Bombyx mori: one gene and its partners. The protein of the gene in region 4 interacts with the protein of the main gene of each other region in a pairwise test. Links are inferred from orthologs where the notes say so. Each region holds a gene or a part of one and is shown on either strand. Other genes may lie near its edges.

Region 1 (4,041 bases), on a different chromosome or scaffold from region 4:
CCCCGGTCGTGTTGTTCCACAGCGGAGAGGATTGGTTCTCCGATAAAATAGACGTCGAGAGACTAAAGGATTGTCTGCCGAACGTTCGAGAAACCGTTTACATTGAAGACCTGAGTCACATCGATTTTGTTTACGCGAAAATTAGTAGGCACGCCGTCTACGACAAAATTGTATCGATCATAGACAACTTCGAATTTGAAAATGGTTTAAAGATAACGAGTAAATCGATGCGATATAATTTTTTTACTAAATAAAAATTAATTTCAATAAATTTAGTGTAATATATTGAACATATTGAAGTACTTTTATTTAAACACATACTATATAATTAATTTGACATGGTTAACTGTCAGCGGCTTATTGGTGTATAATAAAATCATGATTATATCAAGTTCTGTCACGGCTCACAAAATGTAAATTTTTTTAATTTTAACAAACAAATAAAATACAAAAAAAAAAACACCTGTAGCACTCGGGGAGTGGCACAGTAAAGCTATTGCATAGGATTTTTTATCAACTTATGCAATTATAATTAAATATGCAATTTCGAAAAGGGCACATCTCTGAAAATGTAAAATGTTCAGGAAATGAAAAAAAATGATTATTTTCTAAAGCAGTGTAAATTTTAAAATATTAACTTTTGATATATATTTTAGTGTTAATTAGTAATTGAAAATTACTGGAATTATTATAAAATGGGTGTAGGTAAGCCTCAAAACTACATGTATATGAAAAAACGTATTTGAAAAAATATGCGACATATGCCCTTTTCGAAATTGCATATTATTGAAATTAGACAATAATAATTTAATATTAAAACAATAATAAAATAGACCACGTTATATTTATAAACATTAACGAAAACAAAACATTAACTGTCCCCTTCACACTCATAAATAAGACCGCGCGAGAGAGAGATGGGCAGATTTTTCATGATGCGCATGCAGTGCAACGTCACGCTGCGCGCTTATTCACAAACACTACACAAGCGCAACGTGTGAATGTGTTGAGCGCGAGGTAAGCGGAGTGGGGGTGTTAGGTTTTATTTATGTTACGGAATTTCTTGATTCGGTCACCGCGCTCAAAGCCAAAGCTCAAAGCTATGCAATAGCTTAACAATGAAGAAAATCGAAGCAAGAGTGTGACTCACCCAACATCGAGTTCTTCTTTCCTCTTATACAGTTTCTCCTTCTGCTCCGAGAAACTAATGAACTGGTCCAAGGCCTTTTTGTTGACATGATTATACTTCTTGAGATGTTGATTGGCTTTCTCCAGCTCTTTGAAGAGCTACGAGAAGAATTTTTATTATAATTTAATTCTATTATTTTTATTCTTCTACCACTACTGCTATGCAACTACAACTTTTATATAATTTAGTTGACTCGGTCTCTATGTGTGAAGCGCGATAGTTTTACTTATCTTCATCTTATCTTCACCCTCATCTATGTGTTCTCATAATCTTGATGGACATATTTAAAAAGAATTCATTAAATCCCATTATTATATATACAAACGTTAAATACTGAAAATAGTGGAATAGTGATTGAAACAAATTAACATTTTTTCTTAATTATGTGACCAAAATTGTTTTATTTTATATAGCTATTTTAAGCCCCGCCCTCCGCGGTAGCTATTTACGTGGAACCATTTTTGAAGCGTAATTACTTTTCGATAGTTTTATTATTCTTATCATATATGTATTTAAACCGAACTTTACTTACATTGAAAAGCTGTTTTTGTATTAAGCTTTTATTATTATTATTAATTCTTTATTTCAGTTTTGTTTTTTAAAACCATAACATTTTGTTAGTAGTAATTACTTATATCTATGTTAGTGACTTAAAAAATCTAACACATAACTCTCATTATATATATACATTTTATACCATTACATTTTTTATTTTATTTTTTTCTCCTTCAAAGTGCCTACTGCAATCAGTGGTCAACTTGTTTTCTCAGTAATATAGTTAACTAACCTGTTTCAGAGACATTTTCTGGTACTTAGCGTGTAGTTCGGGTGCGTTGGGCAGTGTGCCCAGGGCTGCTATTTTATCGAGCGACTCTTGAATTTTGTCCTGTAGCAACACTTCTTTGGAAGCCATCTTTTCTAGACCCTTAGCGTCCTCCTCCATTTTATCTTGAGCTTCTTTTTCCTGGTGAATTTGAGAAAAATGAGTTCAACAAATTATTGTTACTCATGTATTTTATTGTTGTTCCAATGGGTGTACTAACTCAGGGTTCGTTTGATTGTTAACGCGATTAAAAATGACTATAGCTTCATTAAATAATTATAGCTCATTGCTCCGTTCATTTTACTCATGTCTACTATAATTCTTTAAATTATCGCCATATATTAATTTTAACACAGTTACGCACTTCTTGAATCTTTCACTTCATCAAAGAGGGTTAACTGGAAGAGAATGCTTGCATGGCGTTAATTGGTTAATTATTGGTTGTAGGACCTCTTGTGAGTCCGCGCGGGTAGGTACCACCACTTTGCCTATTTCTGCCGTGAAGCAGTAATGCGTTTCAGTTTGAAGGGTAACTATACTTGAGATCTTAGAACTTATATCTCAAGGTGGGTGACGCATTTACGTTGTAGATGTCTATGGGCTCCAGTAACCACTTAACACCAGGTGGGCTGTGAGCTCCTCCGCCTATCTAAGCAATAAAAAATAAATAAATAAAAAGTTCGCCTTTGTACAATATTTTTGTGCAATAAAGATTCTTCATTCATTCATTCATTCATTCAAAGCTTACTTTATTCCTCCATTTATCTAACTCCAATTTGAGAGCCTTCTCGTTTTTGACGGCGGCTTGCACTTTCCTCTCGACCTCTTCTAGTTCTTTGTTGATCTGCTTGATGCGCTTCTCGGTGGCGGACAGATCGGTTTTGCTGTTAGCGAGACGACGTTTCCGATCTTCAACAGAGATCTCTTGTAGAGCTTGTACTAATTCGTCTTTACGTCTGTCGAAGGAAATGATTTCGTTCAATTACCATTGATAGCATATGTAAGCATGCATTTGCATTGATTTTATGTTAGACAAGCGACCCGCCCTCGCTTCGCTTCGGAAACATGAAATTTTATCATTCATGATAGCGGAGTCCCGCTATGTTACCCGCGGTTATTGTCGTACCGCGGGTGTCACCGCGGGGCGAAGCTAGTATAAAAAAGTAGCCTAAGTTACTTCTTATATCATTAGCTACCACCTATCAGTGAAAGTCTCCTCAAAATCGGCCCAGCCGTTCCAGAGATTAACCGGAACAAACAGACAGACAGACAGACAAAAAAAAAAGTAGGTATATTACTATGCACTGTGGTATACGTTTTTACGCATTTACTAAAAAGTGGTTATTTTATTATTACAAACACTTACACTCTACTTTTATTGATTTGTATAGATTTTGCCAAATTAAATAATAATACTAAAAAAAGTATTATATTTTTTTATCGTGCTTGTAGGCAAAGAGTGTACAGCCCGCCTCATGGTGGTTATCGTCACTCACGGACATCAGCAATACCAGGTTTAAGCCGCTGCCTAGCGTTAAGTTTTATACAAAATTTGCTTTTTTTGCGCACAGAAACTAATGATTTATTCTCATTGGTCACAAATTCGGAACGGTTATACAATCAGTGCGACACGTCATGTCTTGAAACCTCTTTATTAAATCCTGTAGCGGGTCCAATTTACAAGCTAATATATTATTTTTAGAGGTTTAAATTCGGTAACTTTACACAAACTATCGAACGAACGATGAACGAACCGAATCAAATTGTTGGTCAGCAGATTCTCTAGTTTGTTCTTTGTGGCTTCGAGATTCATTCTGGCGCTGAACGCTTCCTTGTTCTCGAGGGTGAGGCGGCGAATCGCGTCGTTCAGTTCGTCCACTTTACCTTGGTCCGCGGTCGATAGTTGCTCCATCAACTCCTATAACGATAGTACAAATAATATTATACAATTTGACCTCAGAAAAATAATATATGTATCTTAAACTAATTTAAATATAAATTTATCCCCTAGAGGTTGAGAAAAAAAATC
Region 2 (4,516 bases), on a different chromosome or scaffold from region 4:
ATTTCTGCTGCGAAATAGTAATGCGTTCGGGTTTGAAGGGTAGGACAGTTAAACTACACAATTGAGATTTGAGACTAAACTAGGGGTGTTAAATAGAGTGATAATAAGTATGACGCAATTAACTTTTATTAAATTCTATTTTCTTTATTTTTCGTCATAGTCCCCTTTCAGGTTTATACACTTGGGATATCTATTTTTCTAAGCCTAAAACTTCCTTTTTAAAATATATTCTTCCTGATCCCACCAGATTGTTTACTTCAGTGATAGGATAATGGCGGCGCAGAGAGGCATGAACGCCACTTAATTTAATCATTAAGCGTTGCATTCCGTAACTTGTAAAATCACAATACTACGGATTTATTATTTAATGTGTGTTGATGAACAGGAAAATTAAAATGATTACAAACTATCGACTGAAGTCTGACTACATTTAACATATAAGCTAAGGGCTCGTAAACTTAAGCGGTGATTTAAAGATAACACATTACGTTATTTTCAAGCCCAATGATATTTTGTTAATGATGGTTTGAGAACGCGTTCTATAACTGAAAATCCATTGCTATAATACCTAACTAATGGTATCAATTCTAAACAAATAAGTAGAGGTAATAATATTATTAGAACTTAAACAACCGATTGAAAAGGATAATAATATATACTAAATATATTACTAAAAATCACTTTTATTTATTTATTTATTAAAATTAACGTAATTGTGTAAGATATTCAATTGTTTCCATCTGAGTTGCTTCAAGGATTTGAAGTGTATCGTATTCGCTGTCTATTTGTTCCAATAATGAAGTCTTGTCGTTAATTTCCGCCTGAAAGTGTTGTATTTCTTGTATTCATCAAACTTACGTACAATATTAAAGTTATCAATAAGAGCGATGATAAAAAAAAGCTACATCACAGTAACAGAAGAAATATTCTTTATTTAAATTAACCGGTCAACGGTCACAACTGTCAGTTTGTCATATGACTCGTCACTAGTGAATAAAATAATTACCTCTCATTATCTTTTTAACGACCCTAAGAAAAGAGTACGTAACATAAGTTTCAATATTTTTGATTCTAATTTCTGGATGAAATTAGTTGAAGAGTGACAATAAGCTCATAAAGGCAATGAGTTGCTTTCGATTTTTCTCAGCAGGTCGTGATTCCGATCCTATGTGATAAATACACTCGCAGAGCCGATCTCTATGACCTATTAAACGTCTTTTGGAGTTGTTCGAGGAGCTGTTATTAGATTCCATCCGTTCTGACAAAGCCCGTCCATCTTAGTGAAGCTGCGAAGACACCTAAGTCACAGCGCTCTATCGTGTATAAAAGCAATAAAATCACAAGTAGATTGACTAAATGCAGCGCTGAGATGCCTTTAATTAAATCAGTGAGCTATCTAGAACATTAAAAACATGAACCGAACGCATTCGCGGCTATTAAATGTAAATCATTCTGGCAAACGATATTAGAAAAACTTCACGCCATAGCCCTACTTAAAGGATTCGAGTTCCCGTGCGTGTCCCGGTTCAAGTGAAAACCCCCACGGGACACAACACGTAGAAAAGGGAAATGTACGGACTGGGCTCTGCTGCTAATCCCGCCCGCTGATATTATGAGATGAAGGGAGAAACGTCTGTACAGCATACTGTGTGACTACTGCAAAGCAGAAGATACACAGTTCTCGGAGAGCAAACTCTGCTATGTTGAAGTAATGGAAATATGTCCATGTATGTATGTTGATATGCAAAGAAAAAAAAGAACACAATGGGGTAGTCACAGTATATCCATGTTGCTCGCTGTGACGAATAGGCTTACTTGGAGTGGGGTGGTTTCTCTGCTCCTTGTGAGCAATAAGAAAAGGTTAAAAAACGGGTTTTTTAAGGATAGAAGATGGCTTCCAAAATTAAAGTAGTCTTATAATATACGGTAAAATGAACTAAAATGTAAGATCTTGAGTAAAAAAGTTTATAAAAAGTAAAGTGAGTAAAAGGTAAAGTTTGAGTGCCTGAGCACGAAATTAAATTATTGAAGACATTTTCCAACAAAATTATATAACATTTCATACCTAGTTATTAAATTTATATTTTCGTTTAATTAAATGGCTATCTATAAATTATGATAATAAAGAACCAATCTTACTTGCAATTTCAGCTGTTCGGATTCCTTATCTTTGGCTATTGATTTTAATAAGTTCATTGCTCCTATTGCAGCCATTTTCTTATTTTCAACATTGTCGCCGAGATCTTTAATTAGATCTAACAGCGAGCTTATAATTTTTTCAAAATTTTGCACCTCTGCAATGCCGAAAATGGCACAGTTATATTACTAATAACTAGTACATAAATATCACGAGATCGTAGGATTTTCGGTTATTAAATCCAACAATCCGAGTAATCGTACCAGCTCGTACGATCTTACAATAAACTGAAACATTAATTGATAACGACAACAATAACTAAGTTTAATAAAAACTTGTGTATACATAGAACGTATCCAATGTTTACAGTTGAACTCAGATACCTACTATTTTCGTACTCCTTACAGGTGTCCCTTAAATCTTCAGTATCTTTCAAAACATTCTCCTCAAGAACCTTTATTTTATTGATGTCATCGTAAAATAGGTGAACTTTTTGCAATTCTTCTGCCATAACTGAGTGAATCAATAAAATAATAATAATCAGTAACTAGACACTGTAGTAGTAATTTCACTATAGTTGTAGTAGTACATTAAATAAATTATTGTATTTGTATCCTTCTTTATGATTTGTAACTAAAATCTAAAAGAATACCAATAGCAAATCAATCTTCTAGTTGCTATTTTTTTTAAATGTAATGTAATTTTTATAATCTTTACTATTAATGTAGGTATTGTTTGTTTTAGTTGTACTGCTTTTGTTGTCTTAGCAACGTATCGACGTTGGTTAAAACAATATAATATGGAGTCGTTTTATCAAAACAGTTCTAGATTAATGAGTATTTTGTACGAAAAGGATTAGTCTTTTTATAGACAGGTATTGTAAAGAAAACAGTATTTTAAAAACGTATTTCACTTTGTGACAGATTTGAAATAATGATTGAATATGTTAAATTAATATATTAAGCGTTAAAGTATGAAATTGCCGATTTGTACTGAAGAATTTAAAAACCTTTTTTTTTTAATAATTATTTAATTAAAATATCTACCATTATTATGTATCTATACATTGCTACCATCTAATAGGAAGGTCATTTATGCTTTTGCTATAGAACCCTGGTGATCTAGATTCTACAAACTGAGTGAAAGCATTTTGTACTGCCTCCTGGGAAGAAAACTTTTTATCACGTAAAAAATTGTCCAAATCACGAAAAAGTTATGAGCGGTGCTCTTTTCAGCACCCGCTTTAGCAGAACCAATTTACTGCACTCACCTGCTCCTCGTCTAACTAACTTTTATAATAATCTAGTCAGTAAAGCTGAAAACCTTGACATATTTGGCGATTCCCTTCCAATATTCAGGAACAAAATTATAAAAAGTTGTTGTTGAACTGACCTCAGCCTTGGTCTGAATACTTGGGTATTGCTGTCCATGTTGTCTTTCTTTTGTTTTATTATTATTATTATTATTGTTAAATCTGTTCATGTAATGCATGCTGTGATTGCCTCTAATTAGAGTTGCAGCTATCAATTATTATTGCTCTATACATGTCAATGCTATTTTATGTCTTACTGTAAACCCTGTTGGTAATCCTTAAATAAATAAAATAGTTTACAATTTGCGTAATTTGTTCCTTTAAAGTTTATGATGATTTTTTGCCGGGAACGCGAGGAGTGAAGTTGTGTGATTTGTTTTATTTTGTCTATTTAGTGTTTCTTCAGGTTTAAATGTGTACTAATGGTGGCATATTAACTGTGTAATATCTGTGAAAGTGCACAAATGTGGGAAAATGAAACAAAGCCGCTCGGACGTAACTTCTCGGGATCCTCGAAAAAGGTCCACTGAAAAAATCTTAGTAAATGACCACCATTTTACTGAGATTATATTTCATCCCATATCATCTCATTTCATTTCATTTGATTTCATCCCAGTTGATTAATGTCTCAAATTAATCATTTTCATTTCATTTCACTCCATAATATCATTTTTCATAAAAATATGAATATAAATTAAAATAAGACATGACTTAAAAGTCTCAGTTACCAGATCATAAAATCCCCTAAAAAAAAGTTTATGATAACAAGAATAACAAGGCTTTGTTCATAAAATTGAAGTGAAGATTATGTGATTTAATTATATATAAATACTATTTAATGATTATTTAATGTACCTATATAAGCAGTTAGACAGATCTGTAGTGTTTGTTTAATTAAAAAAATAACAAGACTTTAATCGTTTCAATTAAATCCGAATTTATGATACCAAATACCCGCTTCATGTAATATAGTTCTATTGGAATTTAAGTATGTAAATGTTTTGATTTTGTGTTTTCTAATTTCATTATTGTTTTCGGCACTACCCATTGTATGTTAGTCCTTGTTA
Region 3 (3,958 bases), on a different chromosome or scaffold from region 4:
TGACAATAGATTGAAGATCATTTTAGAAAGAATCCTGGAATAGTATATAAGCAGCTATCGCTTCTATTTTCATGCAGATCCTGCCTATGTGCGGGACTGTCTGTAATACCTTTTATTTATTTGTTGTGTATTTCAGTGAACGAATCACAACCATAATGTGAAAACGGCCACCCACCGTCTATGCCTTAATTGTATGATAATTATGGAAAATACAATTTTTGGAGCTTTAATTTTTATTCCACAATATTATTCATTTGTTAATTATTTCATAAGAGAAATTGGTATCTGCCTGATGTATAGTTGCATTGCTTGGCACTGTTGTATGTAATTGTTTATTGAATCACCATATGAATGTATAAATATAAAAAAAAACTTTTCGTTTTGTTCTCAAAAAATTATTCAAATAATGCCTATTTTGCTTTGCAACAAGAAAATATTTTAGTAGAAACGTAGTTACATTATTATAAGTTATTACCTAACTAAATATAGTTATCTTCCATAAAAATTACACAATAGATATAGAGAAAAGAAACTTTACATTACTGTGAACTATTTCGCGACAGAGAAATACGTTTGTAAATTGGATATCATTTTCGCATTTACAGGGCCTGAGAGAAATGCTGGATCTATCTCGAAGGTACGGGTCTGATCGTGTGATGGCGCCTCCAATGGAGGACAAGGACGTTCAAACAGACGGCCCGCCGCTGACGGGAGCGTGACGCCCCGCGCTGCCGGCACACCGACCGACTGCTACCTCGCGCGCTCACAGGTAGATCCTGCAAAATACTCCTGTCTGCACATCTGAATGTTTTTACTCACAAATTTAGAAATGTCAAAAGTCAGCTCATCAGGCGATGATTTTCATTATCAATTAGTCGGGTTTCGTTTTTTTCAATAATTGAAAGATCACAAAATGATGCACACAAAATTCGGTATAAATAATTGCATATGTTTTGTAATAATATACATGTGTATTTAATGATTTCACACAAGGTATTAAGGTTTTATTAAATAAAGAAAAATCTTTTACTGCATGTAATGGTTTATTTAACAATGACATGATCTTATAACTTTATCAAGTAATAGTGTTTGGTATCAAATTTAAAATTTATTTTAATTGAATTTAAGACCTTATTAATAATTATTATAAAATATTATCTGAAGTTTTTTTTATTGCAAAGTATAAAAGTAGTAAAATCGTATTATGTTACTTATTTTAAATAAATAATGAATTAATCGTTTTGTACATTCACTCTTTGCATTCACAATTTAAAAGAAATGAATTGTTTAGGCGATATGCCAAACTTAAATGATACATAAATTGAGACACATAAGTGACTTCTCTAAACATAGATCAATTGTTGCCTGATTACACTAAAATATGTTTCCTTGGTTTTAATTGTAATAAATAGTCTACCCTTAAACTGTATTCTTTGTTGGCTATCCTATTGAAAGGGGTGCATATAAGTTTAAAACGTATTTCACTGTCAGCCAAATCTATAAATTATCATGAAGTTTGTGGTATTTGGCATAAGTTACATGTGGGTTAGTCGTCCTGTTTGTGCTGGTCAAAACTGTTTAAACCATTAGCACTACATACACAAAATGCGCCTGCAATGACGATGTAGCGAAACTTGGTGGTTCCAATATTGTTTTCCGGACAATAAAGCTGTACTTTAAATTATGTGTAAGATATCTCAGAACTGTAAAGGGGTCCTTTGCCTAATGCACATGTGTTTGTAATTCATTTGTGCTGACAGAGAGCTTTAAGCAAAAAACAGTGACCGTTCCAGTATACAAATTTATACCTATTGTTACTCACAAGTTTTGGATCCTAGGTCTATTGACATGGTTTACCTTTCCGCTTGATAAAAAAATGTGACAAGAATACAGTGATACAACATACCTTTCAATGTAATGATTATTTGATTTTTCCTTTATTTGAAGTTTCGGTGTCAATAATTTGTAATGTTCTAAAAAATGTAGGAATAATCGTTTTACTTTCTCATTTAAATTAGAGTTGATGGTTGTAGACGTGATAGTAAATTGTAACGTGTTCAAGTCTCATCTCGTAGATGTAACTTCTTAAATAATATAGTCTCTTTCACAGCTACTGTGATCTTCAAAAAGTTTTTAAATGGTCCATATTCTCAGCGAATTGACCATTTAAACAGTAGAGCATTTAACACTGATAACCTTTAAGTAGTGTTACAACTATTATTTACTTAAGTATCTGAAATAGAACTACATAATATTGTTTTTCTTTATCTGACTTTATCTGATTTACAAATCAAAGATTAAAGATTACAAAGATCTACAAATTATTCTATATTTGAGGTAGATTATCTATTTTGTATGTTTGTCACACCTCGTCAATGTGAGACCGATTTGGATTCATATTATTAAGTTAAATTATTTTAATTGTCGAGTATATGAATATTATTAAGATAATGGACTTTTGTTAATTTGAAAATAAAATTGTACGCTTACACATACAGTTTCGTAAATTTTTAATTCAAGATTTTAATACTCGTTACTGTATACCTTCTGGTGTTGCTTTGTAAATTTATAGTGTTGTACCCTATTTAGAATGATCTTAGATTATTCGAATTTCACTTATTATGTATTAGTAAACACGATAAACGGACATTATGATTTACTATTCGATTGACACCTGCAAGCTAGTTATAATGATAGTAGACTATAATATTATACAGGGTGTAAGAGAAACGTTCCTGAGGCCAAATGGTATAATTCTTAAAATTCTTACTTTTGCTAAATAAAATGAGTTAATGAATATGAGCAAACTGATTCCAGGTTTGTAAGCCCTGAAAGAGCACTGTTCAGCATCAGTGCAGCTGTCTTGACAATCTTGACAGTAGTACAGACCCTTTATCTATAAGTGACATTTGGTGAATTTTGAAGTCGTCGTGGCCTAAAGGATAAGACGTCCGGTGCATTCGTATCTAGCGATGCACCGGTGTTCAAATCTCGCAGGCGGGTACCAATTTTTCTAATGAAATACGTACTTAACAAATGTTCACGATTGACTTCCACGGTGAAGGAATAACATCGTGTAATAAAAATCAAACCCGCAAAATTATAATTTGCGTAATTACTGGTGGTAGGACCTCTTGTGAGTCCGCACGGGTAGGTACCACCGCCCCTCCTGTTTCTGCCGTGAAGCAGTGATGCGTTTCGGTTTGAAGGGTGTGGGGCAGCCGTTGTAACTATACTGAGACCTTAGAACTTTTATCTTAAGGTGTGTGGCGCATTTACATTGTAGATGTCTATGGTCTCCAGTAACCACTTAACACCAGGTGGGCTGTGAGCTCGTCCACACACCTAAGCAATAAAAAATAAAAAAAAATTTAGGGCTTGTAGCATTTACGTCTGAACCTTTACGGCTTAGTTTTTTTGGGTGTATTGTTAGTAACCTCGAGGGGTTTTGCTAGTTTCACACGTGGGTTTAAAGCGTTAGCTGCAGTAATACGACTTTGGTTAGTTGAGCATTGTTGCGTGAAAAACCTCTGACAAGTTCTATGAGGCGAAGAGGGGATGTTTATTAAAAATACGTATTATACGTAATTCAGTATACCTATTTAGCATAGTTAGTCTCTATTTCGGGTCCAAGCAACAATACCAACATCGGCCTTCGATTATGCCACATAGACATACTGATTTTTCTGTGTTTACATTGTTCCCCAGGTCAGTTTCTGTTATTTTTTATTATCGCCGTTAGCTGTCATAGTGAAACTTTGCTTGGTCGTTAATATTTGTGACCTTGCTCGTTCACGAAGCCCGCTATAGAAAGCAGAGTATTAAATACACTTGACATTGGCGAAATCTAAAAGGAAACGCCATAAACCTAAGAGATAGATAGATAAGATTTTTCATTTGCTGTTGAATAAAAATTACTCCTTATAGGGATATACCTTATAGGTAATGGTATGCATTT
Region 4 (4,166 bases):
CCGAAATCTAGTTACTATTGTTGATCGAAGGTATTATCTATAATTATATTATAGGTATCGATGCGTACGTGTTTTAGAGCGCGCATGAATAACATTTGAAAAAAAAAAAATTGCTGTGAATTTGATTTTTGTATTTTTTTAATTAAAGTTTTTTTAATCTACTTACAAAATGTCAAATTCGTCAAATAGTGATGAAGAAAACACTTGTGAAGCTTTGAGGGAAAATGTTTCTTTCTTTTCATGAAAATAGTGACAGTGATGATGAAATTAGAATGTTTACAAATGAAGAACGAATGAAGAATGCGTATTTGTAGCGAAAGTGGTGAATCTTCCAAAGATGAGTTTAATGTTTTGGACGGCTTTGATTCCGATACGTTTGTGCAACTTCCTTGTAATATAGGTACTTTTGTCCAACGAAACAAATAATACTTTTTTTTCGAAATTCCCGGACCAAAACATTTACACGCCGATATTAAAAAGCCTATTGGATATTTTTTTTATTAATACTGTATAGTAAAAAATATATTTCATTTGAGTAATTTGATATGTCCCGTACACGAAATAATTACGAAAATCTATCTATATTTGAGGAAAATAATTAAGATTCTGTGCACACTTAATCATTAAGGTATTTTTTTCAAAAATCCTTTCGCAATTTCTGCAAAATATGTGAAAATAAGCTCAACATTAAAAGGGTTAAAGAAATGTAAGAAAAAACATTCTTGTTTTTTATATTAATTTACATAAATTATTGCACGTTCCCGGTAGCAAGCAATTTTTCAATTCTCGACGAGTTTTTGTGTATTATCACTTTGAGGTCGTTTACTTTATCTTGTTTTTCTTGGATTTCTAAGTCCAATTGCTTCAATTTTGTACGCAGAGGTATAAGAGACTCTTCATTACACCTGAATAAAAAACAAAGCATTAGACATTGAAAATTAATTAAGAAATGAAAGGGAATTAATATTAAGCCTGGATTTAGGGCCTATTTTTACGCTACGCAAACAAAAAACTATTCATTTATGAGTTTGATTATACTAAATGATAATACATGTAATAATAATGTTCTATGGATGGTATACTTCCTTTTTTTAATGCTTAGATTGGTGGACTAGCTCACGGCCCACCTGATGTTAAGTGGTTACCGGAGCCCATAGACATCTACAACGTATATGCCGCCAACGATCTTGAGACATGAGTTGTAAGGTCTCACTTTTAACCGTACAAAGTCTGCTCCGCCCTTCAAACTGAAACGCATTACTGCTTTAGCAATAGGCAGGGTGGTGGTACCTACCAGTGCGGACTCACAAGACGTCCTACCACTAGTAATTCCTTTTTAAAGTTGGACTACCGACTATCCTACTCTTCAAAGCGGAACGTGTTATCGCTTCATAACAGAAACAGGAAGGATACTAGAATGTACCCGTGTGGACTTACAATCTGTCCTGCAATAAATATCGGGCTCGACTTGAACTTCACAATGTTATTCCTTAACTGTGTAATCGTTCGCTAAACACGTCCCGTTTTATAATTATTTATCGTATACAGGTAAACACAAATTAGTTAGGAAAAAAGAGCCCCACATCACTCGATAGGTATACAAGGGGCGTTATACTCATTAGGCATAAGACGCTTCAATGATTAAAACTATTAGCTGGCTTTTGGTTAAATTTAGGAGAGACTCGCTATTTCATTCGAGTAAGTACATGTGGTAATAAAAAGTAATTAAATAAAACGTAATTTATTAAATTAGAGATCTACCTGGTATCAACCTATGTCACTTAATCTAGTTTTATTAATAAGTAGAAACTTTTCGGTCTCAGCAACTTTGATAAATTGTAGTTTACAAATTCTCGAACTCGAAATCAAATGCCATGGGTAAATCGAATCTCCAAAAATAATCACAATCCGGCAGTTAGCTACTACCAAGAAATTAGAAAAAAAAAACTTAAGCACTAACGAATACAAATAACTTTACTGGTCGTGCGATTTATTGCACGGCGTAATAATTGTCCCATGCCGTTACATATTAAAACAATGGAGACTTCGACCTCATGCCTTAAAAAGAGGAGTAGCAGCAACATGTTATCATGTCGCGGTACTGTAATAACATAACACCACGTGGACAATGAGCTCATTCTACCTATTAAGGGCAATTTCTACAAACAAAAAAACAATTTAACAACCTACATTAACCTATATAATCCGTAATAGTAAATATTATTTGTAATAAAATCTAATAAAATTTTGGAAAGGACACGTAGGTACTTTAAATGATTCACATTAATTACCAACGAAATTTTTTTCTGTTTTTTTTACGTATACAGCCTTTTTACAGAGTTGAGTAGAGTTGAAGGTGCCGAACGATTTAAGTGATAATGCCGTTACGACTCCGCTCTATTAATGCAGTAAGTGAAAAACATTTAACTAAATATCTCACAATTTTTGCTTGTGCGTCTCTTTAGTGATTTCTTCGTACATGTTTGTCCATTGGTTTAGTTCTTGTCGCATCACTTCCACGTCTTCCTGTAAATGATCGAGTACTTTTCCCAAAGGATTGGCCACACGCGATAAAGCCTGAATATTGAATTTTAGTTGTTCAATTTCTTGATGTTGTGTTTCTCTGGCTTTTTGGATTCCAGACTCCCATTCCTGACAAAATTGATGATTGTAAAGATTTGTTTAATAGTTTAGATTTAAATAGCAGGGACGTGATTTTGTGAGGTGAAGGCAAGAACATAAATGTTATTTAAATAAACGAATTGATTTAAAATAAACTTCTAATTTAAAATTTTACATAATATACACAAATAATAAGCTGAATTCACACGACTTAGGAAATAAGGCCAACGTAATAAAATTAATACATTGCCACCGATCCTTGATGCATCTGCAAAATTTCAAATTCATCAAAATCTAAATGGCACTAACAATTTCAGTTTTTCCCGAAATCTTGCTTAGTTCTCTCTGCGCATCGATTATTTGTTGCACTAAATGACCGTGGTCATTCAGCGATTGTAAGTCTCCGGATATATCTTGGGTCATTGAACTATTGTGTTGCTCCGCGATTATGATAGAGTTGTCTTCCTCCTATAATTTGAATTAGAAAGTTAGTTTTCATAAAATTTGCGAGTCTAAAAAAAGGATAAACAGGAATTAGCCTGACCTCGTCGTTTTGCACGTGTTCTGCAATAATATTAACTTTCCCTAAAATTAGATTCTCGTTTTCAGAAATTATGGTTTCTAATTTTTCTCTTGGTCGTGGTGCTCCAGGCCTCGAAGAAGATGGTCTTACACTAGCTGGTCTCTGAACCACGGAGGGTGTAGAATATTCAGCTGGCTTTACAGCGAAATTATTTCCTGTTTCTGATTGATCGTTTTCGATTTTTAATTTTGTGTTAATAAGCAAAGGCTCTTGTGAAACTTTATTTACATTTAAATCCTTAATAATATTATCTGTAGTTGGTGTATCTGGATACGATAGATGTTCGTTTGTATGTAATTTTTTTGAGTTTGTATCTATGCTGATTTCATTAACATTTTCGCCCATTAAATTTTGTGAGGATGATGATGAATTCAGATCTTGCTCATTTATAGCGTAAGAAGTGCTCAATTGGTCTTGTGCTCCTGGTGTCTCAATATTACTGCTTTGATTTAAATCATCGTTTGTGTTTGAATCCGAATTATCAGTTTTGTTGTCTATTTTCCACTGAGTTTCTTCATTGAGTTCAATTTTTTCTTGGGTTTTAATTTCTTGAGGGTCGGGTAAAGCTCTTTGTGTCTTAACTTTTTCCGTTATTTGTACATGTGATTCCGTAGATTTTTTTTTACCTTGCGGTACAATTTTTTTTGGATTCCCTTTTGCTTGTTTCGTTTTGTTTTGCGGCTCATTCTTAGCAATATTTTCATGCTTGGGTTGGTTCTCAACTTTTTCTTTTTTAGATGAAGATTTTTCTTTTGCTTCGTTTTTTAGGTTCGATAAATTATCGCTGCTCTTAGAAATTAAGTTTTTTGTACTGTTTTTCTTAGGAATCGATTCTTTAGATCTCGTTTCTTTTATAAGCACAGTATTTTGTGATGCATTTTCTTTATATTTTTTCACTGCTTCTACTGACGATAAATTGTTGTCTAGAGCTTGTGCCAAACATTGTAAGAGTTCATTCGTT
Region 5 (4,686 bases), on a different chromosome or scaffold from region 4:
GTATGATTGCATCTACTGACTGAATGTATGTTTGTCTTGATGAAAGTCAATGATGAAAGCCACCCAAATCCCTATTGTATTACATAACAACTATACCACTATTCTAACAATAATGCATAATTGCTTCAACATAAATAGGTAGTACTTTCACATATTCATCTATCACTTCTATCAGCGCCATTATGGCTACTATGGGTGAATTTAATTGTGAGTAATATTATCAACACACTATATATTGAATTATGCATTTAACTACAATTAAGTATCATCCAAATGAGTTAAAAAATAAGAAAGTTTGTGTTTCTGGACAATTTATACCCATTTAAAATTATATTATATTATTAGGTATAGTCTAGCCAGGTAATATTAACCATCGAAACATTACATAAGTAAAATTGACATCATCATCATCTCAGCCTGTTCACTGTCCACTGCTGAACATAGGCCTCTCCAACCAATCTCCAGTGCGGCTGGTTCATTGCCACCTGTATTCTACGTGACCTAGCGATTCTCACCAGTCGTCGATCCATCTGTTAGGTGGCCGTCCCACACTGCATTTGCCAGTATGTGGTCTCCACTCGAGGATTTTTCCACCCCAATGGCCGTTCAATTTCCGCGCTATGTGGCCTGCCCACTGCCACTTCAGCTTGCTAATCCTAGAGGCTATGTCAGCAACTTTGGCTTTTCTACAGATCTCATTTCTGATTCAGTCTCGTAGAGTAATACCAAGCATAGCCCTCTTCATAGCTCGCTGCGCGACCCTAAGCTTCCTACAAATATCCCTTGTGAAGCACCACATCTTGGAACCGTAAGTCATCACTAGTAAAACACATTAGTTTACACCTGTTTCTTAAGGCACTGAGCGATTTTGGACGGGAACACATTTTTTAATTTACTGAATGCGACCGAACCATTTTTTATTTTGAAATTTATATATTTTCAATTACATAATTATTATTAAAATTTTAATGAAATGGTAGAGACAAATGGGATCCCTGAACCCTTTGACTGGCATGTAAGTCACTGGTGCTCTATCTGGAGCACTGAAACAGTTATCAAGTGCCTGGATTGTCAACTTTTGTTTTTAATATATATTTTAGTCTTTTAGGCTATTTGAAATAGATTCATTCTTAGTATCTTCGGATTCATAGTTGTCCAGAGTTTACTAGACATTTCAGTGTCTTAGTAACAGAAATTGACATAAGAACTTCAGTGCACCACGTAGGGTATTGGCAACCTACACGGCAATCAAAGGATTAATAATACCATAATGCCATGTCTGTCTAAATATAATATACGCTGATTCTGATCTAGAGGCTATGGACAAAATCCTTGTATATACTCAACTATGACAGCTCAATTAAACATTTCTCCAGTAAAAGATACTTACCAAATATTAAAGAGCATTCTCTGGTGCGAGGAGCTTAAAACATTAACAGAAAATGGTTTAATCTATTTTGGCATGTAAAAAAACCTAAATTAGTAGCTGAATATATACAGCATGTGGTTTTAAAGATCCAAAAGAAAGAAGCTCACCACAATAAAGTTATCCAACATTCAAAGCAATATTTTTAATCAGTCTGAAGATTAGTTGGATGTTTTACAAATCTCATATTATCTCTTTTGTTTTATTGAAATGGATAATTTCTGTGAGAGATTAAATGGAGAATGAAGGTATAGCTAGAATAGCTGTGATAACCAATATAGCCCAATTATTACGAGGTTGAAGTGACATTATATTGGCATATTGGGAAGGTACATTGGCTCTAGAACAGATGGCATCTAGGGCCAAAAAGTTCAAAAAGTGTGTTCTAAAGTGTGTGGTTGTATGGATTATTGAAGGATGTGGCAATTTGCTAGATGCAGACTACACTGAACCCGGCATTGTGGTGAACTTTGGGGGAGGTCCCAGGTAGTTCAAGTGACAAATAGTTGTCTTTACATTTCTTAATAAATTTTTAAAATTATCCTTAAGAGTGTAATTTTATCAACACTCTCACATTGTTGCTCACAGTTAGTCTGCACTAAGTGCACTGCAGTTATGATGCAATATTTATTAAACGATGTCCTACATAATCAACAACCGACTTGAAAATCAAACTGTTAAATTTTAGTTAAGGAAAACTTTTTGGTGACAATTAAGGTCAAATTTTAGAATCATTTTTAATGCATTCAATTATGATAATGGTAGTTATTAATTAATTACTTGATTTTTGTTTAATTACTCATGAAGATTTATTTCCATATTTGAATTTTGAACTTTTCTAGCATGAATGTTTGGAACAGTTCCACTTTGATTTCTTATCTTGTTCTGTAAACGGAGATCCACCCAGATGTCTATAAGAGTGGACTAATGGTAATGAACCATCCGATTTTTCATTACTATGTTTATGACCAATGTCTTGTTTATGATGGTAAATATGATTTTAATCTCTTGACCTAGAAAAATTTCAAATGTACAACCGATAGGTAGCTATTGGCGTATTTAGTTTTTTCGATTATTTGTTTTTTTAATTTAACCAATTATACACAACTTCAGACATTCCATAACTAGCTTTCACTAACGGCATTTAAGGAAGCGTCTTTATCAAATAGCTCAATTGCATCTGACTATTAAGAAGTTTATGAAACATTATAATAAATTAGTAACAGTACTGGGTACAAATTACAGATGAATATTTTTCATTAAAATAAAAGAAATGGGCTTAAATAGAGTTGGCCTAAATAACTGTTTCGAATGATTCTCAATAATATTTCGTTGACAATAAACGTTTTACGAATAAAACATGATATTACATATAAATTGTTTTAGAACTTACGTTCTCCTGCGAGTCCAAGGTATGCTATTACAGCACAGTCAAGCACATAAAATTCGTCAGCACACTAAATACACTAGAATACGCGAGTTGGCGGTCAGCCGTCTGAGAACTAATAAATAGGATTCCACGCCACTTACACTATGAAAACAGTTTTTTGACATAACACAGTTCACTTTTTGTCTGAAACTTTTATGTAGCCGTTAATCATGTAAAAACGACTTGTACTATCATCCGTGAATACGAGTACGAACACGGCATCGAGCGAAGCGAAAGACCGACCGCGAAAACCATAGATTATACACTTAATATATTCGGCGAAAACCAAAAGCCAACCAACTTCGGTCCGCCCATATCACAGAGTAAATAGCTCGAGAAGTGCATTTATTAATTTTATCATATTAGCAGCAATAGTATATTTAGTTCGTTACATAGGTAGTAAATTTACTAAATTTTGACTATAGAAGTCAGGGAAAGAGTTTACGCAAGAACAATTTGTTCGGTTACTAGCTAGAATGTCTCCGATTCTCTAGCTATTGATTAGTTATTAAGTCAACATCTTCCATTTTTAGCAGTACTTTATATTCTGGGCTTATCTTCTCCTTAACTCTGTCCCTTAAACCTATTTTATGTCCCCACAAACATACTCTATCAGTTAAGCAGGACCTAAGGACTTTTAGTAGGAACGCGAAGGACGAAGTTGTATAAATTGTTTTCGTTTATTTATTTAGCGTTTCATAAAGTTTCAACGTATAACATTTTTAGCTTATTAACCGTTTAGCATCTGTTGTAGTACATAAGTATGGGACAATGAATTAAATCCGCTGGACGTGGCTTCTTGGTTCTTCCAAAAAGTCTACTGAAGTCTTAAAAAATAACCATTGTTTCAATCTAAATTTTGGGACACGTTAATTCAACAGTTTAGAGTTTCTATTTGGTAAAAAAATATTGGGCCGTAGAAACAATGTTTCAAACATTATCTGATGTTTTTTTTAAATATTAATTAATCTAGTTTAATTTAATTATTATAATTTAATTATAATAGTTTAATTTAATTAACTAGATTATTTCAATAATAAACTTATTTGATCCATTAAACGACATTGTAAATAGCATTAACTGAAATATCTTTTATCCAATCTCTTCTAATCACTCTTTGAGAAAGTGATGTCATCGCAACATTCTTATATCTTAGTGAGGGGCAAAAGAAAAAAAAACGAATTTATGACTTAAAAAGTTAACCGATTTGAATAAAATGAAATGTTAAAAAAAGCTTTTAAATTTTCTAAACCTTTAGAGAAACTTCAATTTTATTTACATATTTGAAACAAATAAATTGATGTTCGCTAATTTTCTTTGCTATGCAGTCATCAAAGACCACAGATCAATACATTATCACAGACTATAAAAGATGAGCATGGACTAGTTTGAAAATTTTCCTTTCAATTCGATAGATGGCAGTGGCAGTAGTTTGTGGATAGTAAATGGCCCGTGTGGCCCTTAAATTAGTAGGTACGTGGAAAGAAGATTGCTATCTTCCTCGTGCTTCTCCATTCTAAGTATGGAACTAACCCGCACCAACTTGAAGCCCCTTCAGGTTATTCAATCCCGATTCTGCAGGATAGCCGTCGGAGCACCATGGTTCCTGAGGAACGTGGATCTCCACGATGACCTGGAGCTTGACTCTGTCAGTAAGTATCTACAGTCGGCATCGCTGCGCCATTTTGAGAAGGCGGCACGACATGAGAACCCTCTCATCGTAGCCGCTGGAAATTACATACCCGACCCAGTAGACCGAATGGTAAACCGTCGACGTCGCCCAAAGCACGTCATTACGGATCCTCCTGATCCATTAACGGTGCTCTTAGGC
Region 6 (4,041 bases), about 8.7 Mb from region 4:
TTGTTGAGCGGTATGATGGTAGTTCTGGTCTGCAGGTTGCCCCGCTGTAGCAGCAGCTTGCTCGTGACCTCGGTGTCCACCACTACATTGTATAACTGAAACAATCACATCAGCACTATTTAATACAAATATCGAATGTTTAACAGTCAGAGAGGTAGTTTACTTTCACTGTATTTTACAACATCGAAACAATTTTTTTCAGTTTCTATTAACTGATAGATATTTGTTGTTTATTTGTTTTAACATATAACAGCACACTGATTGTCTCTGATGGTGTTTATTAGCGTTTAATAGAAACTGGAATACGTCATTTCTCATTAAGAGGACAGGGACACTTGAGACCCAGCGCGAGCGGTATAAGGCGGGCTCACCCGTCCTCCGGCCGCCGTCTCCAGGGCGGTGCAGTACACCGGATCACACACGTCGATCAGCTTGCAGACGGTACCTGCAATCATTGCAACATTTTAATCGCCATTGCGGTCACCCTGTAGATTTTGAATCATCAAAAATATAAAGATCATATTAAACAATTAACATAAAGTAGAAATGTGAGCTAGACATGTAGTCGAACCTGCGACCCTGGCGCGGTCGAAGTGCGGGTCGGGGGGGGAGTACCGGAAGTGGCACCGCTGCAGCGCCGCCGCCAGCGCGTCCCGCCGGTCCCGCGCCCCCCGCGCCGCCCCCTGCGCGCCCCGCACCGCCGCCCCCAGTGACGTCACGCGGGACTCGTCGTGCGCCAGCCCCGCCAGCTCGCGCTGCAACCGACCCACGCTACAGACGGCTGTAACCGCGACACGAACCCCGGCGGCCCCACCCACCCACCTCCAGCTGCTCGACCTGCGCCTGCTGCCGCCGGATGCTCTCCTGATCCGCGTCGTACTGTTTGCTGCTGGTAGTGAACTCCTTCTCCAAAGTTTTCAATCTCTCCTCGGCGTGCTTCTTGTCCATCATGGCCGAGGTGATGCGAGTGGACGCCTCCGACGCCTGTTGTTTGGCAGCTACAAAGAGCAACCACAATAAGCATGAAAATAGTCAGTGTTATTGTTAGTGGTTAGTGGTGTGACATGTGCACTGTACTCTCTGTGTATCCGTAGTGGAATATTGGGTCAATAATGGAGTATTGGGGAGACACGATCAACAGTGCACTATCTGATATTAAGGAACGAAAATTTTTGACTTGTTTGTTGATGATATATACGATATTAGTCTTTTATCTGTGACACCTGTAGCCACTATCAACTTACGACAAGTGAGGTGAGATAAATTTCTACTAGTCTGTCATAACGTCAAGACGCACCCATTAGCTGGTCCTGCAGCGATTCAGAAGCATCTTCCTTCCCGGTGCTCACGGCCAAGAACTTCTGTTGTGCTTCCGCTAAAGCTTTCTCACTGGTCTCACTAGATGTGCGAAGGTTCTCGAATGTTGACGAGACCTTTCGTAAAATAGTAATAGTTAAATAAAACATTTTCAGTTTCTTGAATACTTATGTCTATCGAGGCAAGGATCCTACATACCGGATGTATCAAGCCATATCCGATTCCGATACAGCAATAAATTACTAAGTCAAGAGTAACGTAAACAAAGCATAAATACTTTTTGTCAAGATTTATCAAGATTATATTTTGTGAGTCCACATAAGACCAAGAAAAGACAGCCAGTGCATACCGGGTGTGAGCTAGTACTGCGAACCTGAAGAGTTCAGTGCAGAGGCCATGTTTTCTTCGTAATGCTGTGCTACACTTACAATATCGGTCATTCATTGGTTATTAAACAGATGTATTGTAGTTCTTCACGCATGTACAGGTCCGTGCCATTATAAGGAGTGTCTTTAGGACATAATTTAGTTCACATATAAAACAAGTACATATTATGGAGAGCAGGTAAAATAAATGTTTTCTTTGAGTGCATTGAGGTGTGTTGAGCTTGAGCATCACAAATATTGTTTCCACAACCACATGCATGAATAAATTAATAAAAGAAAGAGTCACCGGAAACAATTAACCAACCATTTGACTAAAACGATTCACTCTAATTTATCTTTGTAATTCGAATGTTTCCATCCAAAGACAGTTTACTTTCAAGAAGTGTCAAGTGTATCCTGCTGGGACCGCACCTCATTAAGAATCTGTTGCTTTGATGTGAGAGCCTGCTCGTCCTCAGCCAGTGCCTTTTCGAGTAGTTTGACTCTCTTCTCGTGTCCGCTCAGGGCTTCTTTGCTGCCTTTATATTGTGAACTTGCTGCTGCTTCAACCTTCTCCAAGTTTTGAAGTTCTACTTCCAAATCTTTGAGGACATTCCCACTCTCCTGATACAATAATTAAATGATTAGTGGTTTACATATAAAAAGTCTAAACTTTATCAGCTAACTACATCATCCGATGAATAATAACGACACGAATTGATAGCAGATTCCTTAAATTATGGATTAAACGCACTCATGGTTGCCTAATGCACAATGGATATCAGTTCCAATAACCATTACTATGTGAATTCTGCTCCAGATCCAGACATAAAGTGCAAGTCTCAAGTGTATCCCTTCACACCGGACCGCATAGAATGCGACAAGAGCCCCGCTCTGGGGCTGGACTCACGGACGAAAAGCGACGACTTACTGCTGTCTCTTACCTCATCCAGTTTTTTGTTTAAGTCAACAACTTGCTTATCCAGCTCTTTCATTTCTTTCTCATTGTTTTTAATAGTCTCTTTTTTCAATTTAATGTCGTCCTGCACTTGCGTGACTTTTCCCTCTGCTGCTTTGGTTTGCTCTTCAGCAGAAACATACCTGTAACGGAGATATCGTTTTAACTTTCGTGACTATGATGTGCTAAAATATTGCCTTGTTCTATCATGTAAATAAGTGGTTTAGAAGGGGAAGGTAATAAACATACTATGGACACTTGTGCATGTATACTGTAGAGAGAGATGTTCAATAAAATTGTTTTCTTTTCTTAATGTATTTAAAACAGAAAGAAAGAAGTACTCAACATACTAAGAAGTACTCAACATACTGACATTTTTGTGTTACACTGAACAGGGAGGCACACGGGCGGCCGCGCAGTCCTGTGGCGACTAGGAACTTAGGCAATGACCATACTCACTTCCAAGCGACACACAGCCTGGTGATATTCTCCAATTCTCTGACAACCTTCTGATATTCTTGGAACTGAGATCTTTCATCTTGCAGCTTCTGAAGTTTAGGTGCTATGTCTTCTCTTATTATCTATTTTGAACAGAAACAATTTTGCCACAACAGTTCTTTTAATGTATTTTCTGAGAAGTTTTAGTTCAGTTCAAAAAAATTTACATCTGATTAATTGTGATCCCTTCTACAAAATCATTATTTTATTCAAAAAAGTATTGGCAGTTCTGAAAGTCCACCTAAGTAGTCCTAGAAATCTACTAATTTGATGAAGTGATAAAATAGTTTTATTTGTGTCATATTATGCTTTAAAACGAATCGACATTTGTACAGTGTGCAGTGACAGTAAAATTGTACAATTGACTTACATCATTAAGTTCCCGGAGCTTTGCATCTTTCTTCTCAATAGTTTTCTGTGCTGCTTGTTTTTTAGCTTCATACATTCTTGTACCTGCCGCTTCCTCTACCATTGATAATATCTAACAAAAAAGTGGTATTGTAGCTGTATATATTTTAGCCTTCAGTGCAATGTGGTTATTGGATGCCAATGCTAAACATGAATGTCTCTAGTGCCAATTTACCATGTTCATGTTCTTATGGCCTTTTTATTGTTTATTGTATTTTATAATTATTAGAAGAAATTTGTAATCATTAGATCAGCTAAATTAGTTACATTTCATTTATTCACAAGGATGTCAAACACAATTACAGCACAGGTTTTTTGCCTTTTTTTATTACTTAGATAGGTCATTGAGCTCACAGCCCATCTGACTTTAAGTGGATACGGGAGCCCCGCCACCCACCGTGGGAAAAGGCATCCAAGCCTCAGTGTGCAATTACTGCCCCACCCTTGAAAAACGAAACACATTACTGCTTCAAGGCAAAAATAGGCAGAGTGGTG
Region 7 (4,041 bases), on a different chromosome or scaffold from region 4:
CTGCCTTGAAGCAGTAATGCGTTTCGGTTTAAAGGGTGGGGCAGTCGTTGTAACTATACTTGAGACCTTAGAACTTATATCTCAAGGTGGGGGGCGCATTTGCATTGTAGGTGTTTTGGGAGGCTTAAACGACGAAAGGGAAGATCTTCCACCGAGCGGGTGATATTTGCTCGGTAGACCGACGGTCCGAATATTGTTGTTCGGAACTTGTATATATGCAAGCTTATCTTGAAAATATCGTAAGTGAGATTCAGGCATCTGTCAAATATCTTGCGTTGTATGATGGCTACCCGCCAGTGTCTATCGGATCATAATAAAAAAAAAACCTAAATAGCCATTTGATATTCACGGCATATTTACGGAACACATATCTCGTGGATAAAGAGCTCTTACTGTATCTGTACTATATCTGCGAGGAGTGAAGTTGTGTGATTTGTTTTATTTTGTCTATTGTAATGTTTCTTTAGGATTAAATGTGTAGTAACGGTGGTTTATTAACTGTTTAATATCTGTGAAAGTGCACAAATGTGGGAAAATGAAACAAAGCCGCTAGACGTAACTTCTAAAAAGTCCACTGAAAATATCTTAGTAGATGACCACTATTTTACTGAGATTATATTTCATCCCATATCATCTCATTTCATTTCACTCCATATTTATCATTTTTCATAAAAAATAATAATTTAAATTAAAATAAGACATGACTTAAATGTCTTAGTTACCAGGTCATAAAATCCCTCAAAAGAAAAAAATATATATTTTTTTTCTTTTGTAGGCAGACGTGCATACGGCCCACCTGATGGTAAGTGGTCACCGTCGCTCATGGACGTCAGCAATGCCCGTATTTAATAATATGTAATATTATTATAATATATTAATATGTAAAGGTCACCGACCTTAATATAGTTTGCCACGATCGAAACGTTTTTGAAGTCCAAGGCCGCGTCTATCTCGTCCATGACGTACAGAGGCGTTGGTTTGTAGTAATGTAAAGCGAAAACCAGGGCCAGTGAGGATAACGTCTTCTCGCCGCCCGATAAATTCGATATGTTCTTCCAGGACTTGTTCGGCGGACGCACGCTGTAAACAAAACAAGAGTTATTTAGGTGTCGTGAGATTATTATTTTTTTTACTGGCCGAGTCCCGCGATGTTATCTGCGGTTATTTTCGTACCGCGAGTGACGCCGCGGGGCTAAGCAAGTCTAGAAAAAGTAGCCTAAGTTACTCCTTATATCATGAGCTACCTATTAGTGGAAGTCTCGTCAAATTTGGTCCAGCCGTTCCAGAGATTAACCGGAACAAACAGACAATAATTTTTTTTTTTTTTTCTACCTATCCTGATAGCCTTGAGAGGCTATTTCAGCTTCACCCTAACGTTTGTAGGTGAGCTCACGGGGCTCAAACCGGAGTGTTGCTAACACTGCCCCTAGCAAGAGCAGAGCTTCGCAGAATCTACCACCGGATCGGAAACGCGACCCACTGAGAAGATCCGGCGAGAAACTCAGTGGGCTGTGCCTATGGGCTAGTTCGCTCGTCGAGCCCTTCGTCGCAAGCGACGGGTTCGACGAGGACGGTGACCGGGGAAAAATTGTGAAAAATTGTATGTGTTACCGACAATCTGTATAATACAGTATTCTATACAATACTTAGGCAATGTATAGAATACCTAAAACGTTAAGGTAAAGTATGTAATATTTTTCATTTTATACTTTGCCTAGGCATTCTATACAAAACCGAATGCGCTGCCCGTAATGTGTGTAAAAGAACTGATTACTTAACTTTTAACTAATTACTTAGATTAGATTATGTTAGTTAACCCAGAAGAATTTTAAATTCAATGTTATTTGATTGTGATTTTACAATAAATACCTATGAATATAAAGATTGTTTTTAATCAAAACTAACTACTTATTAATTGTTAATTTTAATAAAGTTGATTTTAAGCAAATCTTATGTGCTATTTTTGTCTGTCATTTTATACTCTTCTGCTTATTTACTTACATAACATTGATAAATACAGGCCCAAATATAGTTATTTTACACATTATGTATAGATTTACTTTTTATAGTTTAGATGAGTGGACGAGCGCACGGCCTACCTGGTGTTAAGTGGTTAGCGGAGCAAAAAAAAAAACTAGACGGTAAATTCCGCCACCTACCTTATATATGATATGAGTACTAAGGTCTCAAGTATAGTTACAACGGCTGCCCCGCCCTTCAAACCGAAACGCATTACTGCTTCACAGCAGAATAGGCAGGGCGGTGGTACCTACCCGCGCGGACTCACAGCACATGCTACCTACCACTAGTCGAAATTTTGCATTTCAGACATTTTAATCGCATATATCGAATCGGCGCCATTGCCTTAATACTCTTTAGAAATAAACTTACATTACGAAGAATTAAACATTAAAATATATGCAATTGAGACTTCGAGATGAAGACCAGTCAAGGGAATTATAATTTTATTACTAAACACATAAGAGGCTTTATATAAAAATACTCCATAAATTATCATAGGCCAGTACGAATATATATATTTTTTTCCTTCCTATTCTAGTAGCCTCTAGGGGTTATTCTAGATTAGCCGAGCTTGTAGGTGAGCTCACGGGGCTCAAACCTGAGGACGTTGCTAACACGAACCCTAGCAAGAGCCGTGCTTCGCAGAATCTACCACCGGATCGGAAACGCGACCCACTGAGAAGATCCGGCGAGAAACTCAGTAGACCGTGTCTGTGGGTTAGTTTACTTATCGAGCCCTTCGTTGCAAGCGACGGGTTCAACGAGGACGGTGACCGGTGCTTGAGGTACCTAAAAGCACCGTTAGTGGATCGGGAGGATCCAAAATGACGTGTTTGGGGCGACGTCGACTGCTTTCCATTCGGTCCGCAGGATCGGGTATAGTACGATCCTTAAAACAAAATACCTGAATATAATCCCTTCGGAGAATGGATCCAGCGAGTCAACAAGTTCTAGTTCAGCGTCGCCTCCCAATGTTATCATTTGGTACATCTCTTTCAGTTTCATTGTTATCGTATTGAATCCTGGAAGGAAAAGTTTATTTTTTATTGTACAGAATTGGAGTTTCGAACTTTACACTAAACTAGCGGCCCGCTCCGGCTCCGCTCGGGTCTTTAACAAAAATTTCAACGATATTTGACGTTGTTTTATTTTTTTAAATAAAAGAACACTTATTGCGACATAACTACAATAGTTAGACATATGCTGTCCCGACACTTTTGGTAAATAATAATGTGTTCTACAAAGCAGTAGTACATTATTTTATTATACCATCAATAGTTTTCGCAGGCACGCGATGTAAAGATTATTTTAGGTAATTTTTGGAGTTTACTCCTTTAGAATCGATTTACATATATAGGCCCGGGGTATGAAAATTATGGGGACCAAAATCGTACTAGCATGTCACACGAAATGCGTTATGCGCCTGATTGGCTCCTGATTGCGTGATGCGTGCGCGCGCCAATCAGGAGCCAACGCGCGGCCGCGTTATCGCAGGTGACGCCGGGCTGCTGCGCCGGCAGTCCGCCACAAAGCCTCGTACTGATCGCGCGTTTCTCTCATTATTGTATTTTCATATATTTGTTAGTCGTTTGTTTTGTGTCTCGTTAATTTGTTAATAATCTGTAGTGTATCGTGTTGTCGTAATATAGAACTATTTCTCGTATTGTTTCGTTTAATTTTTTATATCCAGTAAACTCCAGTCGTGCGTCGGAGCGGACACACACACTTTTTTTTACCTATTGGGATACATTATTGGAGTTTTAGTAAGGATCCCTAATATTTTTCAAAAAAGATTATCGCCTATGTCACTCGGTGTAGCTTCCAAACAATGTAAGAATTTTTCAAATCGGTTCAGTAGTTTCGGAGCCTATTCAATACAAACAAACAAATATTTCCCTTTTATAATATTAGTACAGATGTCTCTGCAAAGTTTTACTACATCGAGTAGAAATCTAGGAATATTTTTGAGAAGTCTGACATAACTTGAACCCCTCCTGACCTTGAGTAAGATTCCCCAGG

What was found.
Region 1: the proteins of TRAF3-interacting protein 1 (region 4) and structural maintenance of chromosomes protein 3 interact in a two-hybrid assay, tested with the Homo sapiens proteins (2 studies listed by BioGRID and IntAct). The link is inferred for Bombyx mori from reciprocal best matches to the Homo sapiens genes TRAF3IP1 and SMC3.
Region 2: the proteins of TRAF3-interacting protein 1 (region 4) and intraflagellar transport protein 20 homolog interact in a two-hybrid assay, tested with the Homo sapiens proteins (2 studies listed by IntAct). The link is inferred for Bombyx mori from reciprocal best matches to the Homo sapiens genes TRAF3IP1 and IFT20.
Region 3: the proteins of TRAF3-interacting protein 1 (region 4) and FGFR1 oncogene partner 2 homolog interact in a two-hybrid assay, tested with the Homo sapiens proteins (2 studies listed by IntAct). The link is inferred for Bombyx mori from reciprocal best matches to the Homo sapiens genes TRAF3IP1 and FGFR1OP2.
Region 5: the proteins of TRAF3-interacting protein 1 (region 4) and spectrin beta chain interact in a two-hybrid assay, tested with the Homo sapiens proteins (2 studies listed by BioGRID and IntAct). The link is inferred for Bombyx mori from reciprocal best matches to the Homo sapiens genes TRAF3IP1 and SPTBN1.
Region 6: the proteins of TRAF3-interacting protein 1 (region 4) and structural maintenance of chromosomes protein 2 interact in a two-hybrid assay, tested with the Homo sapiens proteins (2 studies listed by BioGRID and IntAct). The link is inferred for Bombyx mori from reciprocal best matches to the Homo sapiens genes TRAF3IP1 and SMC2.
Region 7: the proteins of TRAF3-interacting protein 1 (region 4) and structural maintenance of chromosomes protein 4 interact in a two-hybrid assay, tested with the Homo sapiens proteins (2 studies listed by BioGRID and IntAct). The link is inferred for Bombyx mori from reciprocal best matches to the Homo sapiens genes TRAF3IP1 and SMC4.

The regions. Positions count from the first base shown.
Region 1 is NC_085129.1:4,090,704-4,094,744, forward strand, and holds part of structural maintenance of chromosomes protein 3, read right to left. Parts: intron 3,931-4,041; coding exon 3,767-3,930; intron 2,969-3,766; coding exon 2,761-2,968; intron 2,154-2,760; coding exon 1,977-2,153; intron 1,288-1,976; coding exon 1,151-1,287; intron 571-1,150; exon of another isoform or gene 255-570; coding exon of another isoform or gene 1-254. Other genes in the region: lipase 3-like, read left to right, coding at 1-254. UniProt on the Homo sapiens protein: Central component of cohesin, a complex required for chromosome cohesion during the cell cycle. The cohesin complex may form a large proteinaceous ring within which sister chromatids can be trapped.
Region 2 is NC_085116.1:6,783,178-6,787,693, forward strand, and holds intraflagellar transport protein 20 homolog, read right to left. Parts: upstream 2,953-4,516; 5' UTR 2,855-2,952; exon of another isoform or gene 2,651-2,854; 5' UTR 2,649-2,650; coding exon 2,525-2,648; intron 2,295-2,524; coding exon 2,140-2,294; intron 822-2,139; coding exon 705-821; 3' UTR 666-704; downstream 1-665. UniProt on the Homo sapiens protein: Part of intraflagellar transport (IFT) particles involved in ciliary process assembly. May play a role in the trafficking of ciliary membrane proteins from the Golgi complex to the cilium.
Region 3 is NC_085119.1:12,368,723-12,372,680, forward strand, and holds part of FGFR1 oncogene partner 2 homolog, read left to right. Parts: intron 1-605; coding exon 606-719; 3' UTR 720-3,958. UniProt on the Homo sapiens protein: May be involved in wound healing pathway.
Region 4 is NC_085131.1:5,588,672-5,592,837, forward strand, and holds the end of TRAF3-interacting protein 1, read right to left. Parts: coding exon 3,167-4,166; intron 3,091-3,166; coding exon 2,932-3,090; intron 2,653-2,931; coding exon 2,441-2,652; intron 906-2,440; coding exon 749-905; 3' UTR 716-748; downstream 1-715.
Region 5 is NC_085124.1:11,159,949-11,164,634, forward strand, and holds the start of spectrin beta chain, read right to left. Parts: upstream 3,180-4,686; 5' UTR 2,820-3,179; intron 1-2,819. UniProt on the Homo sapiens protein: Fodrin, which seems to be involved in secretion, interacts with calmodulin in a calcium-dependent manner and is thus candidate for the calcium-dependent movement of the cytoskeleton at the membrane.
Region 6 is NC_085131.1:14,291,170-14,295,210, forward strand, and holds part of structural maintenance of chromosomes protein 2, read right to left. Parts: intron 3,620-4,041; coding exon 3,509-3,619; intron 3,222-3,508; coding exon 3,100-3,221; intron 2,784-3,099; coding exon 2,627-2,783; intron 2,307-2,626; coding exon 2,115-2,306; intron 1,434-2,114; coding exon 1,298-1,433; intron 999-1,297; coding exon 823-998; intron 756-822; coding exon 572-755; intron 446-571; coding exon 372-445; intron 96-371; coding exon 1-95. UniProt on the Homo sapiens protein: Central component of the condensin complex, a complex required for conversion of interphase chromatin into mitotic-like condense chromosomes.
Region 7 is NC_085134.1:4,032,751-4,036,791, reverse strand, and holds part of structural maintenance of chromosomes protein 4, read right to left. Parts: intron 3,045-4,041; coding exon 2,927-3,044; intron 1,081-2,926; coding exon 897-1,080; intron 1-896. UniProt on the Homo sapiens protein: Central component of the condensin complex, a complex required for conversion of interphase chromatin into mitotic-like condense chromosomes.